2 linked regions of the Oreochromis niloticus genome follow. The protein of the gene in region 2 purifies or fractionates together with the protein of the main gene of each other region. This does not show direct contact. Links are inferred from orthologs where the notes say so. Each region holds a gene or a part of one and is shown on either strand. Other genes may lie near its edges.

The links. Proteins that work in one complex are often made in the same cells at the same time.
Region 1: the proteins of usp15 (region 2) and smad7 purify together in Homo sapiens (affinity purification with western blotting; 3 studies listed by BioGRID). This does not show direct contact. The link is inferred for Oreochromis niloticus from reciprocal best matches to the Homo sapiens genes USP15 and SMAD7.

What each region holds. Positions count from the first base shown.
Region 1 is NC_031972.2:18,262,435-18,270,497, reverse strand, and holds the start of smad7 (mothers against decapentaplegic homolog 7), read right to left. Parts: upstream 3,035-8,063; 5' UTR 1,915-3,034; coding exon 1,449-1,914; intron 611-1,448; coding exon 557-610; intron 1-556. UniProt on the Homo sapiens protein: Antagonist of signaling by TGF-beta (transforming growth factor) type 1 receptor superfamily members; has been shown to inhibit TGF-beta (Transforming growth factor) and activin signaling by associating with their receptors thus preventing SMAD2 access.
Region 2 is NC_031981.2:6,282,593-6,290,156, reverse strand, and holds the start of usp15 (ubiquitin carboxyl-terminal hydrolase 15), read left to right. Parts: upstream 1-4,515; 5' UTR 4,516-4,554; coding exon 4,555-4,643; intron 4,644-5,335; coding exon 5,336-5,463; intron 5,464-5,767; coding exon 5,768-5,898; intron 5,899-6,631; exon of another isoform or gene 6,632-6,690; coding exon of another isoform or gene 6,691-6,723; intron 6,724-7,564. Other genes in the region: sodium- and chloride-dependent GABA transporter 2, read left to right, coding at 831-933, 1,074-1,174, 1,306-1,476, 1,558-1,707. UniProt on the Homo sapiens protein: Hydrolase that removes conjugated ubiquitin from target proteins and regulates various pathways such as the TGF-beta receptor signaling, NF-kappa-B and RNF41/NRDP1-PRKN pathways.

The DNA of each region.
Region 1 (8,063 bases), on a different chromosome or scaffold from region 2:
ATCAAACCGGGAAATGGGGACAGTGACACCCCCAGCTATACACACACAGACACACACTAGAGACACACAAGCCCTCACCCTCATTCTGTTGATTAATTCAGCTGATAAAGACTGGCTGGCTCCAGAGACGCCGCTGTCTGTCTGTTTCTCCCTGTGCTGCGATTCACAATAGATAGACGAACACACAAACAAACTCCCTCCCCCCCTTTAGCCACACACACACACACACACACACACACACACACAGGCTGCCCCCGGTGATGTGCCAGTCAGTCAGTCTATAGCTGGTGTCTCAACTTTGTACTGCCTTGCCCTGGCTGTCAGCCATGCTGGAAATGGCTAGCCAGTCAGCCAGGCGTGCCACTCCACTGCTATCATAAATCACAACATAACATGGAGCCATTTCCTACACACACACACACGCACTGGAGAGGCACAGACAACACAAACATTCATAAATGCAATATAGCCTTTTAGATGGAAATGTTATGCAAAAACAAATGCGCTTCTGGCAATAACATGAATGCATGTATTTATGCATGAACAGCAAGCTCACCTGGTGGTTTAAGATAGTCCATGGGATAGCGGGAATATGGTGGAGGAGGAGACTCTGTATGGAGAAAAAAAATGAGTACATGAGGAAAAAAAAGGGGGAAAACAAGGGAGAGATCGAAACTTTATGATAAGATTTGTCATTTTTCAGGGGAAAAAGATTTGTGTCTGTCAGCTCCGCCTGGAGAGGCAGGCTGAGAGGCCGGCTGGGCGGCTATTGCCTTTCATTGGCAGGCAGATAAACAGGGGGGGGCCGCCTGGCGCCAGAAGGGCCACTATCAGCGTCTAGGACAAACTGAGATACGGGCCTCTTTTGGCCCGGGACGCCAAGCAAACGCGCGCACTCAGGCGAGCGAGCGAGCGCGTGCACGCACATACACACAGAGACCCTGGAAAAACTTCACTGTGGAAAGACTGGAAGACTGTAAAGCCCTGTGCACTTTGGAAATGCCATCTATGAAAGGTTTAAATAGCAGAAAGGCTTTGTTGTTGTTTGGAAAGCGCATATTTGAAGTGCCAAAAAAACATAAAATAAAGCATGTTTGGATACACGTTACCGTTTTTACAACACGGCCAATCAATCAATTATTATTTTAGTCAAATGACATGCCAAACTCGGATTTAATGACGCCACACTTCCGAAAAGATGGGAAGGTGGAGGGGGGTTTGGGGGGTGGGGGGTCTCAGCACGCTAGTTTGACCTTATGGAAACTCAACACAACTGTGCCAACAGAAGTGATGTCATTTGAATTAGGCTAATTAGCTCTTTAGGTAATTGAACTTGAACTTGCTCTGAAATAAGGCCAGAGAATGCCAGAGAATTCAAAATACTTGCTGCCAATAAACAGATAAATAAATAAATAGATAATGTCTATTTTCATAAAAATCCAACTCACCGAGTTCACAGAGCCTGCTCATGTGGTGGGGATTGCAGCAAATGAGCTCTGGGTTGATTTTCCCGTAGGATTCACAGCAAGACAGCCTCTTCAACTCCGAGGAATGCCTGAGGTCCGGCCACCTGAACACTTTGTAGAGCAGCATGGGGAGAGAGTAAGACTGTTGACCCACTTTGGCGTCCACTTTGCTGGGCAGGAGCAAACAGGGGCTGCGGGCACCCCCTTTGGACTCCACTGCCTGCAAAAGCACCTCCAATTGTTTCTCTTTGATCTTTTTCAGTATCGAGTGGGTCAACGCCTTCAATTCAGCCTCCGACCCTGCGTTGGACTTGGCCACCTTTGTCGTTTTGCCCAAGCAGCAGCCCCCGGAGCCATGCGTCCCTCTATCCGTTTCCCCGTCGCCCTCCACGGGCGCACGGCTCCTCCAGAGTCGCCGGACGAGCCCCGATCGTTTGGTCCTAAACATGCGGGACGAAAAGAGGGTTTCCCGGCTAAAAAACGAGCATTGTGTCCGCAAATCATGAAGATTCCGGGATCCGAGTCCAGGCGGTGATAAGCAGCCTGAGAAAAGACGGTGGAAAAACTGGGGTCTGGACAAGCAGAGGAAATCTGTAGCATACGCCAGTCTCTTTCGCCGTCTCCTGCACCCCAGATCACCAAAAAGAAAGAAAAAAGCAGGCAGGGTTCACGGGACAGTTAACTTTTCCTCCGGGGATAAGTCACCATCACCATCGGGAATTTAAGACTTGTGTCTGATGACGAAAACCTAGCAGAATGTGATCGTTAATAGCGAATGGGGGAGCAACCCTGCTGCGCGGAGCCTAGATGTGTTACAATTTTCACTTGGTGATGTGCAACCCAGAGCAGTGAGCTGACCCCTTAAAAATACTCCAGGCAGATTTTTCAGCAAATAAACACTGCTTTTAAAAAAAGAAAAGCAAAGAAAAAGAACGAAAAAAAGCTTTCTGCCAGTGCGCAGTAGCTTTAATGGAAATTACAGAACGTGGGGCCTAATTAAGCCTAAAATGCTATGGCAATTATCCCATGAAAACCGAAGCTCGCTGCCGTGTCTTCAGGAGCATTAATCCACAAAAATCCGTGATCCAAACTGCACAGAGTGCGGTTCTCCACCGGGCATGCGGAGGCTTTTTTTTATTTATTTATTTGTTTATCCGCTATCGTCCAAATATGCCAATCGTCTGCAGAGGATGTGGTCTGCCCGAGTTGAGATGAGCCAAGGAGCAAAAATCCAGGTCTGAATCTCTCACCCAAGTTGAGTTGCGTTTCTAAAGCCCGGAGAGAGAGAGAGAGAGAGAGAGAGAGAGAGAACACTCGTCCAGCCGCCGAGCCTTTCGACCTGTTTCAGCACACAGGCGAACCTTTTTCTTTTTCTTGTCTGAGCGTTAAAATAATCCCAAGCTCGTATCTCACGCGAAGTTTCCGTGGAAGAGAGAGCGAGCCGCCGACTGCGATCTCGAGGGGGAGTATGAGGCTCTCTGTAAATGAGGCGGATGGTTTGGGTGCCCTTGCTCCGTCTCCAGTCTCCAGTGCGCATTGACGCGCCCGGTCACGTGTGTGTCTAGACACCCTGTCGCTTAAAAGAAATGTGATTGTGTGTTGCGCAAACAACAGATCAAGCAGAGCCTGCGGCGCACACACACACACACACACACACACACACACACACACGAAAACCTTTGAAAGGAGGAAAGTTTGGGGGCAAAAAGTTGCCAGAAGGGTAAAGTTGAAAATAAAAGGGCAGTTGAGAAACTGTGAGATGATATAAAGTCTTACAAGAAATTTCTCTCGTCACTGTTTAATGCTGAATAATTGGCAGAGCGATAATGACGTAAATTTGGCCCCTTTGTGTCATATAAAAGTTTTTTCTAAGTTTACTTGATGATTGTAAACTCAAATGTTCTTTTCAAGCTCCAACAACGTCTAATAGCTCTGTTATCTCAGCTTTACTAACACTGGCTTCGTATTAAAGCAGCTCTGTTGCTGATGTGTGAGTGTGTGTCATTTAAGCTAGAAACACTCTGATTTCCACCTTTTTTCTCGTAATATAACATTTGCGCATTTGTCATCATGATTACTCAGGATGGTTTGGCTTGGGAGGGGGCTGCGTAGGATGGTCTCAAGGGCGACACTTCAACCACTCACCGGATATGTCGGGTCGTAGATGAAGCTGGTTCAGATTAGGGATTTTTTTAACGTATAAAAAATGTGCCTGCAAGACTTAACACAGGGAGGGAGAGAGAGAGCGAGAGAGCGAGAGCGGCCACTGTGTCCCAAAGCCAGACGGGAGCGCGCTGCTGCCGCCCTCTGGACGTTTGGTTTCCAGGTGGGACGAGCATCACCAGTTTTCTGCCTTTTAATCATCAACACGGCGGTTTCCACCCTCTTTTATTCATCCAGCGCTCTTGCCCATCACTTTCCCGACTTGCCTGACAACAGATGGGATGTGCCCACATGACTGCTGTCTTTATTATCGGCCGAATCCATATTTATTATGACAGGCGCAGCGGTTTGATTCTTACCGTTTCGATCTGTTTTGCCGTATTGTGTGTCGCTGAAGAGGCAAAACACAAACAACGTCATTTAAGTGTGACAGCTTATTTCTCTATATGGGCACACATAAATGATCTGTTCTCTCAATAAACTCATTTTTATTCAAATAAATAAATAAATGATTCACACTTTGAACCCAAAGTGTCCGAGGCCCTCAGATAGGATCTCCTAGCATCTACCAAACCCTTTGCAACGTGCGCATGAATAATATGCGTGTGTCTGTGTTTGTGTGTGTGTTACCTACATGGCTTCATGGGTTTACCTCCACAGACACAAGTCCAGAGGAGGAGGTGACAGGGGTGCTCCGGGGGCAGATGGGATGGGTGTCTGATAATGATGATTGCAGAGATGTGCGGGGCTGGGTAGGGGGGTGGGGGCAGAGGTGTGCATGGGGGTCGACGGATGGGGGTCGGGCTACCCGCATTGTCCCAGGATCACCCACTGGCGCCGAGCAGGAGGAGACTCAACAGCCCAAACAACGCAGGGGACTGCGCCTCTTTTTTTTTCTTTTTTTGAAGAAGTCTGGAAGCAATCAGTCAGGGGAAAGGGTCTGTCAGAGGTATTGTGGAAGTCGCTGCAGACGCACGCTGTCCCCTCCCCTCTCCCCCTCTCTCCCTCTCCACTTCTCCCTGCCCTTCCTTTTGTGTGTGTGACTGACTATTCCCCAGACTCCAGGAAGTAGCCAATTTTATCTAACCAGTTTCCATTTCAGTCTGGCGAGGAATGTCTGCAATAAGGTGCAGGACTAGGACTCATTAATATATATATTTTTTCCTCCCTGCCTGATAACGTTTTCATGTATTTTTAAACCACACCTGATAATAACTGAAGTAAATACTGAATGGTGCATTCACATGCTTGGTGGAGTCCTGTAATTTGGTGTTGCGAACACTATATTTGTGGAACCTGTCCCCCACACCTCTCCAAACTAACACGTCAAGGTCTTTTATTGGATTTTTGACAGTATGACAGTACAGCCATTAAAACGACATGCACTCACTGGACTCTGTACATATCGATAGAACCACTTTGGACTTCTTTTTGCTTTCAGAACTGTTTTAATTCTTCGTACAACAGATTCAACAAGATGCTGGCAATATTCCTCTGGGAGCTTGGTTAATACTGACATAATAGCATCACACAGTTGCTGCAGACTTGTTGGCTGCACATCCACAATGTGAATCTCCCATGCCACCACATCCCAAGGCTGCTCTATCGGATTGAGATCTGGTGTTTGTGGAGGCCATCTGAGTACAGTGAACTCACTGACATGTTCAACAAACCAGTGTAAGGTGATTTGTACAGTGAGTCCATGAGAACTGTAGCCTCAGTTTCCTGTTCTTGGTCTACAGGAGTGGCAGCTGGTGTGGTCTTCTGCTGCTGTAACCCATCTGCTTCAAAATTTGAAGCTCTAGCTTTTAGCGCAGCAGTCCCATCCACCTGGTGCTTAAACCCTTTGTTTGCAAGGGGCAGCCAATCAGAAGAAAGCTGGCTAAAAGAGAAAGGAATTGCTCATTTCAGAAAGTGGATGACCCAAGGGGGCTGTACCATCATCCAGTATAAAATGAATTATTACTCTGAACTGTGCAAAAGCTACTCCAGCAGGGTCCAAAAATAAAAATGGAGCTGGAAGTGCTTTCTGGTTGACAACTGGAGTGTGGTTCTAATGTTCTCACATCCTAAGGCTACATACAGCAGGCTTAGTTTCATGTTTCCCCGCCTGTTCACAGTCTTTGTGCTGAGCTAGCTTCCAGCTTCAGCCTTATGTATTCATAAGGCATATATACAGCAGTCTTGCTCATCTAAGTCTCAACAAAAAGTGAATAAATGTATTTCTAAAAGCTGCTGAGCTGTTGCTTTAAGAGCCTTGTTAAGCTCAATCAAGTGACCCTGCAGAGGTGATTCAAATGAGGGCGTGCAGTTGGCTAAAACAGCATTACACAGCAAGAGGGATGATTAATATTCTAGACAGCAGCCCAAGCCTTTACTATAATTTATTGACACAGTGACTGGTTTCAGACGAGTGGGGGTCACACATATGCAATTAAACAGGCTTATTATGTGTGAATGAGAATGTTAAGAATAGGGTGAAGACTGCATGCAGGCAGGCAGCCAGTCACTGGGGAGATAAGAATGATAGAAATAAGGCAACTTTAATTAAATAGATAAGAGAAAACTTTAAAAATTCACAACTTGCACATCCGATGTCACAACAGGAAGGATGGAAAACACCCACACTGGTAAATGACGCAGCCTGTTTAAAAAAAAAATAAACAAATCATGCTGTGAAAAAGCATAAAAAAGGAGGAAAAAAACCTATTCATCGTGTGTTGAGAAAAATGTACAATTATCAGCATCTCCAGTGGGGTTTGCTCTATAATGAATGAGAGAAAGCTTCAGTCTTGTGCTCAGACATGCGGTATGACCCACATTTTATCCCAGAATGCTAATGTTAGCTACAGACCTACCAACCTGCCCCAGACTCCTTTTAGCCAACTGAATGTTCAAAGAGTGAGTTACTCTCCTACGCTAAAAATGTCAAAGTCTAATGCAACAGCCTGGCGATAAATTTTACCTTCATGAAGGTCGTGATCTTCAGTTTTAGCTGAAATGATTAAGAAAAGTATTACTCCAAATATTGATAATATCGATACCAGCGCTGGTATCAGTATCGGATCGATACTAGCACGATAGGATCGATACTTTCTATCCTCAAAATTCTGTATGTAGCCCACTGAATAGTGTTAAATAAATTCTTATTCTTTTGGAAATGAAAAAAAATATAACACAAACATGAACTATGAAAAATGTACCTTTTTGTCGCCTGCCAGGTCTAGTAGATTTACAGCCTATATTTAAACAACAGAAGCTGACAAAGCGCTTTAGAGACTAGAGATTTTAATTCTTGATCTACAAAACATTTAGTTTCAAAATACATGAAAGTATGAAAGTGTGTTTTATTATAAAATGTGGAATGTAAACATCAAATCGTGTAGTGTTCGAGTGTTCATGTGTGTTCAGAATTTGCAAATCAATAATGATTCATCTCAAAAATCATGACACACTGCTCTCCCCTATATAAGCTAACTTTATAGGTTAAAAGTGTTGGTATCAGTATTGGTAATTCTGGCCCTGTATTTACTTGGTATAGGATAAACTGCTAAGTTAATGCTGGGTAAAACCTGAGGACTGGGGTGTAAGTTCAGAACTTCATCTTTAGCCGACAGTTGCTCAGTATGTAGCTCGTGCCCTGCAGCCAGTGGTCAGTCAATACAAAGAAACCCCTCAATTCAATATTAATAACTTTTAATCAATCCAGACTTTTAAGTTGGATCAAAGTGAGCCTGACACGTTGAGATGCAACAATGTTATTTTACACCCAATTACACGTGCAAAGTGCACTGAAGCTCAAAGAGTTATTATAGATGTTATATAAGATTCAAGTTTTCATATGAGAAGCATTTTGTCTTGTCCAAGGGGCTTTTGTCTTTTCAGTATGAGATGAACTAATCTGTAAGGTGTTGTTTGATAAACCTCTCACAGAGAGCATCTACTTTCAGATTTCTTTAGTCTGGTTTGGGTTAAGGGATTACATCTTTGTCATGTTAAAGCTGGAGGCCTCAGTGACCTAGTTCTCTTTAAAGGCCACTGGCGTGAAACTGCATGCATTTAACTGTCCTACATGGACGAGTGCCCAGGCTCAATTGTGATACTGATGTCAGTCATTTTTTTTGTCCCTTTAAGCAATTGCGTGATGTTTGTGGACGAATGTTTGTGTGGGATGAGTCCTTCACAGGAGCTACACGGTATCGCTCACTTAACTCCACTTATGCTTAATTCATAGCACCACAACTGTGTCTGCTTGCAGAGATATTTACCTACAGAGGGCCTGAAGAGAGGGGCTTTCAACCAATGAAAATCTTCCCATGCAGAATTCCAACTGCTTGTTCCTCGATGTGTATGATGTTGTGAGTTGGTTGAATGCAGACTGGCAAACTAATGAGAAGAGAGCAACGGTGGAGCAAAACGGGAAAAAACAAAACA
Region 2 (7,564 bases):
CCTGCAGTGTGTAGTAAATGATTTCATACGAGTGTCTTTAAATCATTCATTTTTAAAAGCTGTGGTGTCATCCCTTGTTTCCTAACAGGAATGAATGCCTTTAGCAGCAGTTTGCTTGATCATGTGACGTTAAAGCTATTGCCTTCATACGCACACATACTCTCAACAAATCGGGCTGTTGCTGGGGTGGAGGGATGCTTTGTTCTGATTAAATAAACTCTTACTAGAATCCAACGTAGTTGACGTGGTTTCACCTCTGCACAGCTGGAAGCATGAATGCTCTGTAGAGGTGTCAACAAGTCCTCAGTTTGTAAGTACAAGCGCGTCAATGGTTTTGTGCGACCCTTCTCAGGTAAGTGACAAGCATTGTTATGCAATGCTCCCAATTTTAGGATGAGGGCTGAAATAGTCAACTTTGGGGCTTCAAGGTTTCAAGGTCTTTGTATAATAACAGTATTATAGTATAATAACAATATTTTACTGTACAGTTTTCAAGCTACCATTCATTTTTAGTTAAAGGAGACCTATTATGCCCATTTCCAGGTCTCAGTTTTTATTTTTGGACCTTATTAGAATAGTTTTGCAATAAGCCATCCTAACCTTAAACCCTTTAAACCAGCTTTCTTCTGATTGGCTGCCCCTCGTAAAAAGACAAAAACAAAGGGGGTTTGCAGGTGTGTGCAGCAAAAGCTATGTGCCTAAGATGACCATATTAGGGATATCTCCTTTCAGTGACTTCATACGGAGCCAAGAGTAGAAAAAAACTGTCTAAAACTGTAACTGTAAACTATATTTGAATGATTATACCTCTTTGGTTTCTATCTGTCTAGGGGGGCATGTATGTCTTTCAGCTCTTTGATTACTACGCAGCCAGTGGCATGTGTCTTCTCTTCATGTCCATCTTTGAGACAGTTTGCATTGCGTGGGTTTATGGTAAGCAAACAGAACTGCATGTAAGATTACAGCACAAGCTTTGACGAGTAATTCTGAGTGTTCACCCAAGTTACTAGCAGACACCCAGCTGGGAGTTACATTGTGCCACGATGACATGTGTCTAAATCGTGTTTTTCCAGGCGCTGATCGCTTTTACGATAACATTGAGGATATGATTGGTTACCGGCCAGGACCGTATATCAAGTGCTGTTGGTTGTTCTTCTCCCCTGCCACATGCATTGTGAGTCTCAGTAAAATAGATAAAGTTCCCAAAATGACAATAAATGTTCTATTAGCGAAAAAAAAAAAGAGGAAATAAAGCAGGTTTTTGATCCTCACTAATTGCCGTACCCTGTTACCTTGTCTCTGCAGGGCACCTTTGCATTCTCCCTCATTAAATACACTCCTCTGAAGTACAACAATGAGTATGTGTACCCGTGGTGGGGATATGTGATCGGCTGGCTGCTTGCTCTCTCCTCCATGGTCTGCATCCCACTGTGGATGGTGTATAAGATCAGCACCACCCAGGGGACACTCAGAGAGGTATGCTGATCATCCTGTCAGTGGAAAACATGCGCCCAACTCGTGTGCTCCCGATTTTAATCTTTGTTTGCTCATTCACAGCGCATCCAGTTGCTCATCAGACCATCTGACGACTTACCTAAAACCAAGAGGGAGCAGGAGAGGTTACTGGCTATCTTTGCTCCAGAGGTAGACACCACCAAGACTACAAATGGCTACTTCCCGGTCTCCGAGGCAGACTCCAACTTGTGAGGCTTCAGTGGTCTGTGGGATCCACTGACTTTAATACATAACATACATGGTGGACTCAGGCGAAAGTAGTGGCATGACGATTTTTGAGTGATAAAATAGGGCAGAAGAAATTAAAAAAGTAGCCTGCCATTTGAATTAAGAACTTTCAGAGTGGAAAGGAGAGTTTTTCAGGGACAAAAGTAATTTAGACAAACTTGTTCTTGAGTCTGGGAATCCATCGGTAAAGTTTATAAGTAACCCAAGAAAAGCAAAGTCATGGGAGGAACAGCTGAATCATTGGATGTTCCATAACACTTAGAGAGCAACTTCTTAATGCTCCTTTATGTATCTGACAACACTGCATGGCTGTTTTGTCATATTTGTATCATATTGTTATGTTGTGATAAATAACTGCAGAGGTTTTCCTTTTGTATTTAGGGAAAATGAGATTATGCTTAACAGTAGACATAATAGGATGCAGAATAAATACTTGGAAATGCAGAATACTGATATGGACTAATATGGTATATAAACTGTAGTTTCATTTTTTGTACTGTAACGTATAATGACTGTACAAAGAAACATTACTGTTGTAAGTGCGGATTGAAAAATAAACTTTGTAAGTTGTCCTGAACCATTTTTTCTTTGCTCTCCGAGGGGAACTTCCTAAAGTCTGAAAAAATAATCCAGATTCGGGGATGTGGATGTTAAGCATGGAAGCTTTAAGGGGGGGAAAAAAGAGTCGCATAGTCTTTTTCACAGCAGCCATTGTTCTTTTCTGCTTAGGCACAGACCTTTAACTAATGTGATCAGTAACGCCTGTGTTTACCTGCTATTTAAATGGAAACTCTGGTGGATTAAACACACTATTATCTTACTCAGGCTTACACCTATAGTACCTCATTCCTTGTGTACACTGGCTTGTAATACAACTGGATTTAAAACAGGTTGGTGCTTGTAGGTGAACACTTGTGACAATAGCACTAAAGGAGTGCAAACTTCTACTTCAAAGCTCACCTAAATGCTTGCTGGGTTCATTTCTCTAAAACATGTTATTCAAGTTGGAACCTGCAGCAAAACACCACTCTTTGTCAGGTTTAAACCACAGACTATATATAAACGTAGGATGTAGTTACTGCTGAAAAAGTGAAGCCACTGTGAAAGTGCCTTACAGCTGCATTGGTTTTCATAGCTAGCAAGAGAGAGCAATAGTCACTGCTAAATACAACATGAAGTTCATTTTGAAAATTATGCTATTTTCAATTATATAATTATATAATAAGTTTTTAGTGTCTGTTGTCTGGTTTAACAAAACTTGATGGAGTTGAGTAACACCAAAGGTATGTTTCAATCCACACACTTGTGTACAATCTTTATATTAGAAAATGAATAAATACAAATGAATACATTTGGCTGATACAAAGGGACATGTCACATGTGCATGTTGGGTTTTGAGACTCTTCAACTTTAACTTTGTACAAATCCACAAATGCATGCAGCATTCAAGTGCTAGTGGAAAACTGGAGCATCTGGGCTTCCTGTGTCTTTTGAACATGCACCTGCTGCTACAAATGTAACTTTAAAAAAAGAAAATCAGTCCGTAACAATCAAAAGTCTCCAATTTTATGAAAATGGAGAACAAATCACCAACAAATCACATCAGGATTTTACTGATATGTTTTTTTTTCTTCATAAAATCATGTTCTATAAAGTGATAAAGTATAACATCTGCGGACTTTGCAAGTGCTTAGCTTGTATAAAGTATGCTATTAAAGGTACCCGTTTAGTTTCAGTTACTTTCCAGAGTTGGATTATTGTTTACAGTTAGTTTTTAAAAAAATATATTGTTATTGCTTTATTAATATTGACTGGTTTCTGTCTTAGTTATTATTATTATTATATGAGCAGTATTTGGCAAAGGTAAAATTTCAGAAGTTCATAATCTTCTATTACAGTGGAACTATTTGACTTGCAGTCATGTAGAAATCCCAGTCTCAGTGAACATGTGCACCACTGTGTCACGATGTTGAGTGTGTTATCAAGGTACACCTGAGTAGCTATTGCAGGAGTAGGTTTGTAGATTGATCAATAGCTCGAGAGATACTTTATTTTATAGTCCTTTGCAGGAAATTATTGTTATGGCAGTTAAACACAGACATAACATGGCACAGCCCAGCAAAACAATATTAATTCATAATAAAATGAAAAATATATAAATAAATAAAACAGCTATGTGCAAATATGCAAACGTGGATACAATCATATTATTTTTATTATTGTACATTGAAAGAATATGAGCTTTCAATATTCATTCAGATTTTTCTTTTGTCATTTGTCAGCTTTTCTAATGTACATTTTAAAGATATTCAACTACTTTAGAGCTTTGAAAACTCAAATCATTGAGCTTTCAGCATTCAGACCACATTTTCTTCAGGAACTGCATTCACTTGTTAATTGTTTTCCTTTTCCAGGTGTAGGATATGTTATAGTGTGAGGTAACTGGCAGTTCATAAAACTCTGCTTTCACAGTACTTTTCCCAAAATTGCAATATTATAGATGGTTCAACGTTCAGATTCTTTATATTGGGATTTTCTCTTCTACAGTGTTCACGGAGTGTTAAAAAGTGTCACTTGTGTTGTTTCCCCTCATTGCTGGTCTTTATTTTTAAAGGCACAGTTTCTTTCTCAGCTGTAAACCCGTGCATCCACAATGATGGAGCACTTTTGAAACATTTTCTAGAATAATTTTGCCACTGGGTGTCACGCTTCCCCTGTGATGATTGGCTGCAGCAGCGGCGTCGCTCTCTACGTGCCTCTATGACGCGCCGCTTTTTTTCCCACCATGCACCGGGGAATGTCTAAGGAAAGATGGCGGAAGGAGGAGCGGCTGATCTGGATACCCAAAGAGGAGAGGTCGCGACACTGTTGAAAACACAACTAAGAAAGGGAGACACTTGGTAAGAATTGACTGTGATCTTTTCAAGGGCACTGCGTGGCTCTGGGCTGGGTCTGCTGAGGCTGTCAACCCCACGGAGGATGTGAAATCCAGACGGCCGGGCCGTGTTGACAGTGAGCTCCGAGCTAGCTAACGGCTGCCTGTCAGCTTCATGTGTCAGCTTGGCAGGCTAGCGCTGGTTGAGCTCACGCTAAGACTCAAAACAGTTAAACTAAATTTAAATGTTGTATTTTGGTGTTTATATCCTTCACTTCCAAAAAACGGTGTCACATATTTTCTGTGGATGTGTAAGGCTACATGCCGTTTGAGTGATACAGATAGTTATCAGGCTATCAGCTAATTGGCTAGCTTGCCGATGATCCAAGCGGTTTGCCTGTCAGTGGGTTCATCCGCCGACTTCAGCAGGGCGGAGTCGGAAAAAAACACCTGTCAAAATCACAGAGCCAGCTGGCTAGGCTTGTAGCAATTTGAACTCAACACGGCGGCTAAAAGCTACTGTTACAACTGTCAGTCTGTGTAATGTATGCCTCCCAAAACCAGATTTGTTTCGGGTACTCACTGCAAGGTAGCCCCAAGGTAACCTGGTTTATAGCCCAATACTTTAATGCAACCCACCACCCCTTTTATTTAACTCTTGACTTTCACATCTTGCTTTTAGTAGAGATGTTGTAATCTTGATTGCTTTCTCTGCAGGTACCTAGTGGACAGTCACTGGTTCAAACAGTGGAAGAAATATGTGGGATTTGACAGCTGGGACAAATACCAGATGGGAGACCAGAATGTCTACCCAGGACCGGTTGATAACTCTGGTCTTCTCAAAGGTAAGTCCAGTAATAGTCCATCTCTTTAGATCTCTATTTTATCCCTTCTAAAAGTATATGATAAATGTATGGGAAAGCAGTTTTTGGTAGGTTAGCTTTATGGACAAGTGACATACACGCACACAAAAAACATTGTCTACTAACCAGAGAGTAGCCTTTCTTTAGAGTGGGGTCATAGAAAGCTCTCCAGCTCACCTTGTTCTTTGTGTGTTATCAATAGTGTAAGTGTTGACCCACAGAATGTGCACAAGAGAACGTGCTTTCTCTTGTTTAACTGCATGTGAATGACCATCCCTCCCTCTAGATGGGGATGTGCTCGCCATCAAGGAACACCTCATTGATGAGCTGGACTACATTCTGGTCCCAACAGAAGGCTGGAATAAGCTCGTCAGCTGGTATGGACTCACAGAGGGTCAGGAGCCAATCGCTCGCAAGGTAAGGGTTCAGTTATTAGCATAAGATTATGAATGGATTTTTTTACATGTTGTTCTGCTGCCAGTTCAGATGGTTTTCTCAGATACAGAATCAGTAGATTTAATGTGCAGTGTGACTTGTGTTGGGGTAAAAGGGAGAACATTGTGCTAATAAGGCTGTTTGAGAAAATGAGACACGCAGCACTTTTGGAAAAGGAAACTTGAACTTGGGTCACTGTTGCTGAACAGTGATAGTGAAAGGCTCTATGATGACAGATATTTAACAAAAAGAACTGCAAAGAATAGTTAACCATTACATTCATTTTTGATATAATTTGGTTGGTCAGGTAGATTTACACAGATTTACTCTGTGTACACTACACAGAATCTCAGAAATAATAGTGAAAGACTGGGTGTTTACTTATCACAAAGAAATTTAAAAAAAAAATAAAGCTGCCTTTCATTCATTTCTTTTATGAATGAAACGCAGTATGTGTGCTTATCTATTTCCATATTAGCATAAGAGTATGTGAGGTTTGCTGGAGTAAAAAAAATGAAGAATTCCTATATGTTTGTGATTACAGTTGAATACTGTGTGATGGCACTTTTGCTATCAAAGCAACTCTTAAAATCTCGCTAGTCATGGCATCATGGCTGCTGGAAGCACTTCCTCTTCCCTCTCCATATCTATCAGTCTGTCTCTCGTCTCCCCCCCTACATTGACCCTCCTCTTTTGCCATGTATGTCATGCGGCGTATCGGGTAGCTGCAAGGTTTCTATTTTCAGGCAACGTTCTGGATGACTGAAAAGCTACATGGAGCGATCTGCGAGACACAACATGAAGGAGGTTTTCTTCTTCTTTTTACCCTATTGTTTCTATATTGTCAACTTGAGGGTGGGGGGTATGCTGGGGGGAACTGTAGGATTGTAGTCATTGGTATGACACTGTGGCTCCTTCCGCTTTCCACTTGTGGTTTGATTGCCAACAATGGTGGAGAGCTCCTGCGTCCTTGTTTTCCAAGCGGAGGAATGCCAGCTGAGGTCACACTGAGAGAAGCAGCGCGAAAGCTTTTCAAAGGAGTGTGAGGAGAGGCAAACCAGTATAGGAGAAGCGGCGTGGGTGGCCTAAATGGTTTTGGCTCGGCTTTGATTTGAGAAACTGTGTCAGAGCTTGGTGGTGAGTTGGACGTTGACTGAGCTCACAGACAGATGGGTGGTGCGCTGAGGTGTACTAGCCCACCAAGAGCCTTGAGTAGGGGAGGGTTGTGGTGCTGAGAGAATCTAAGCTGTGTGTGAAGGACTTTTGCAGTTTAGTAGCGTCAGTGTCTGTGTGTTGGAGGGGCTCAGGGGTGAAATAAATAGGCTGGGACCCCTCAGCTGTTTCCACGAGGTGCTGCTAATTTAGGCACTTCACTCTGACTGTGAAGTATCAGGACTCCAGATGAGTAGAGACCAGCGCAGCAGAGCTTAGTGTGCTTTGTTATCCATTTTGTTAAACTTTTTCTAGCACATTAAACTTAGGAGTTTGCTTTCAGTCTTGCAGGAATTTGATGAAAAGGAGATAAGAGTTGCATCATGATTATTTTTGCCAGGTTGGTGTCACAGTTTCTTTTTGGGTGCCTAAACTTCTGTCAAAGCTAAGCTCAGCCATGATAACAATTGGACAAACATCTTACAGTCAAAGGCTT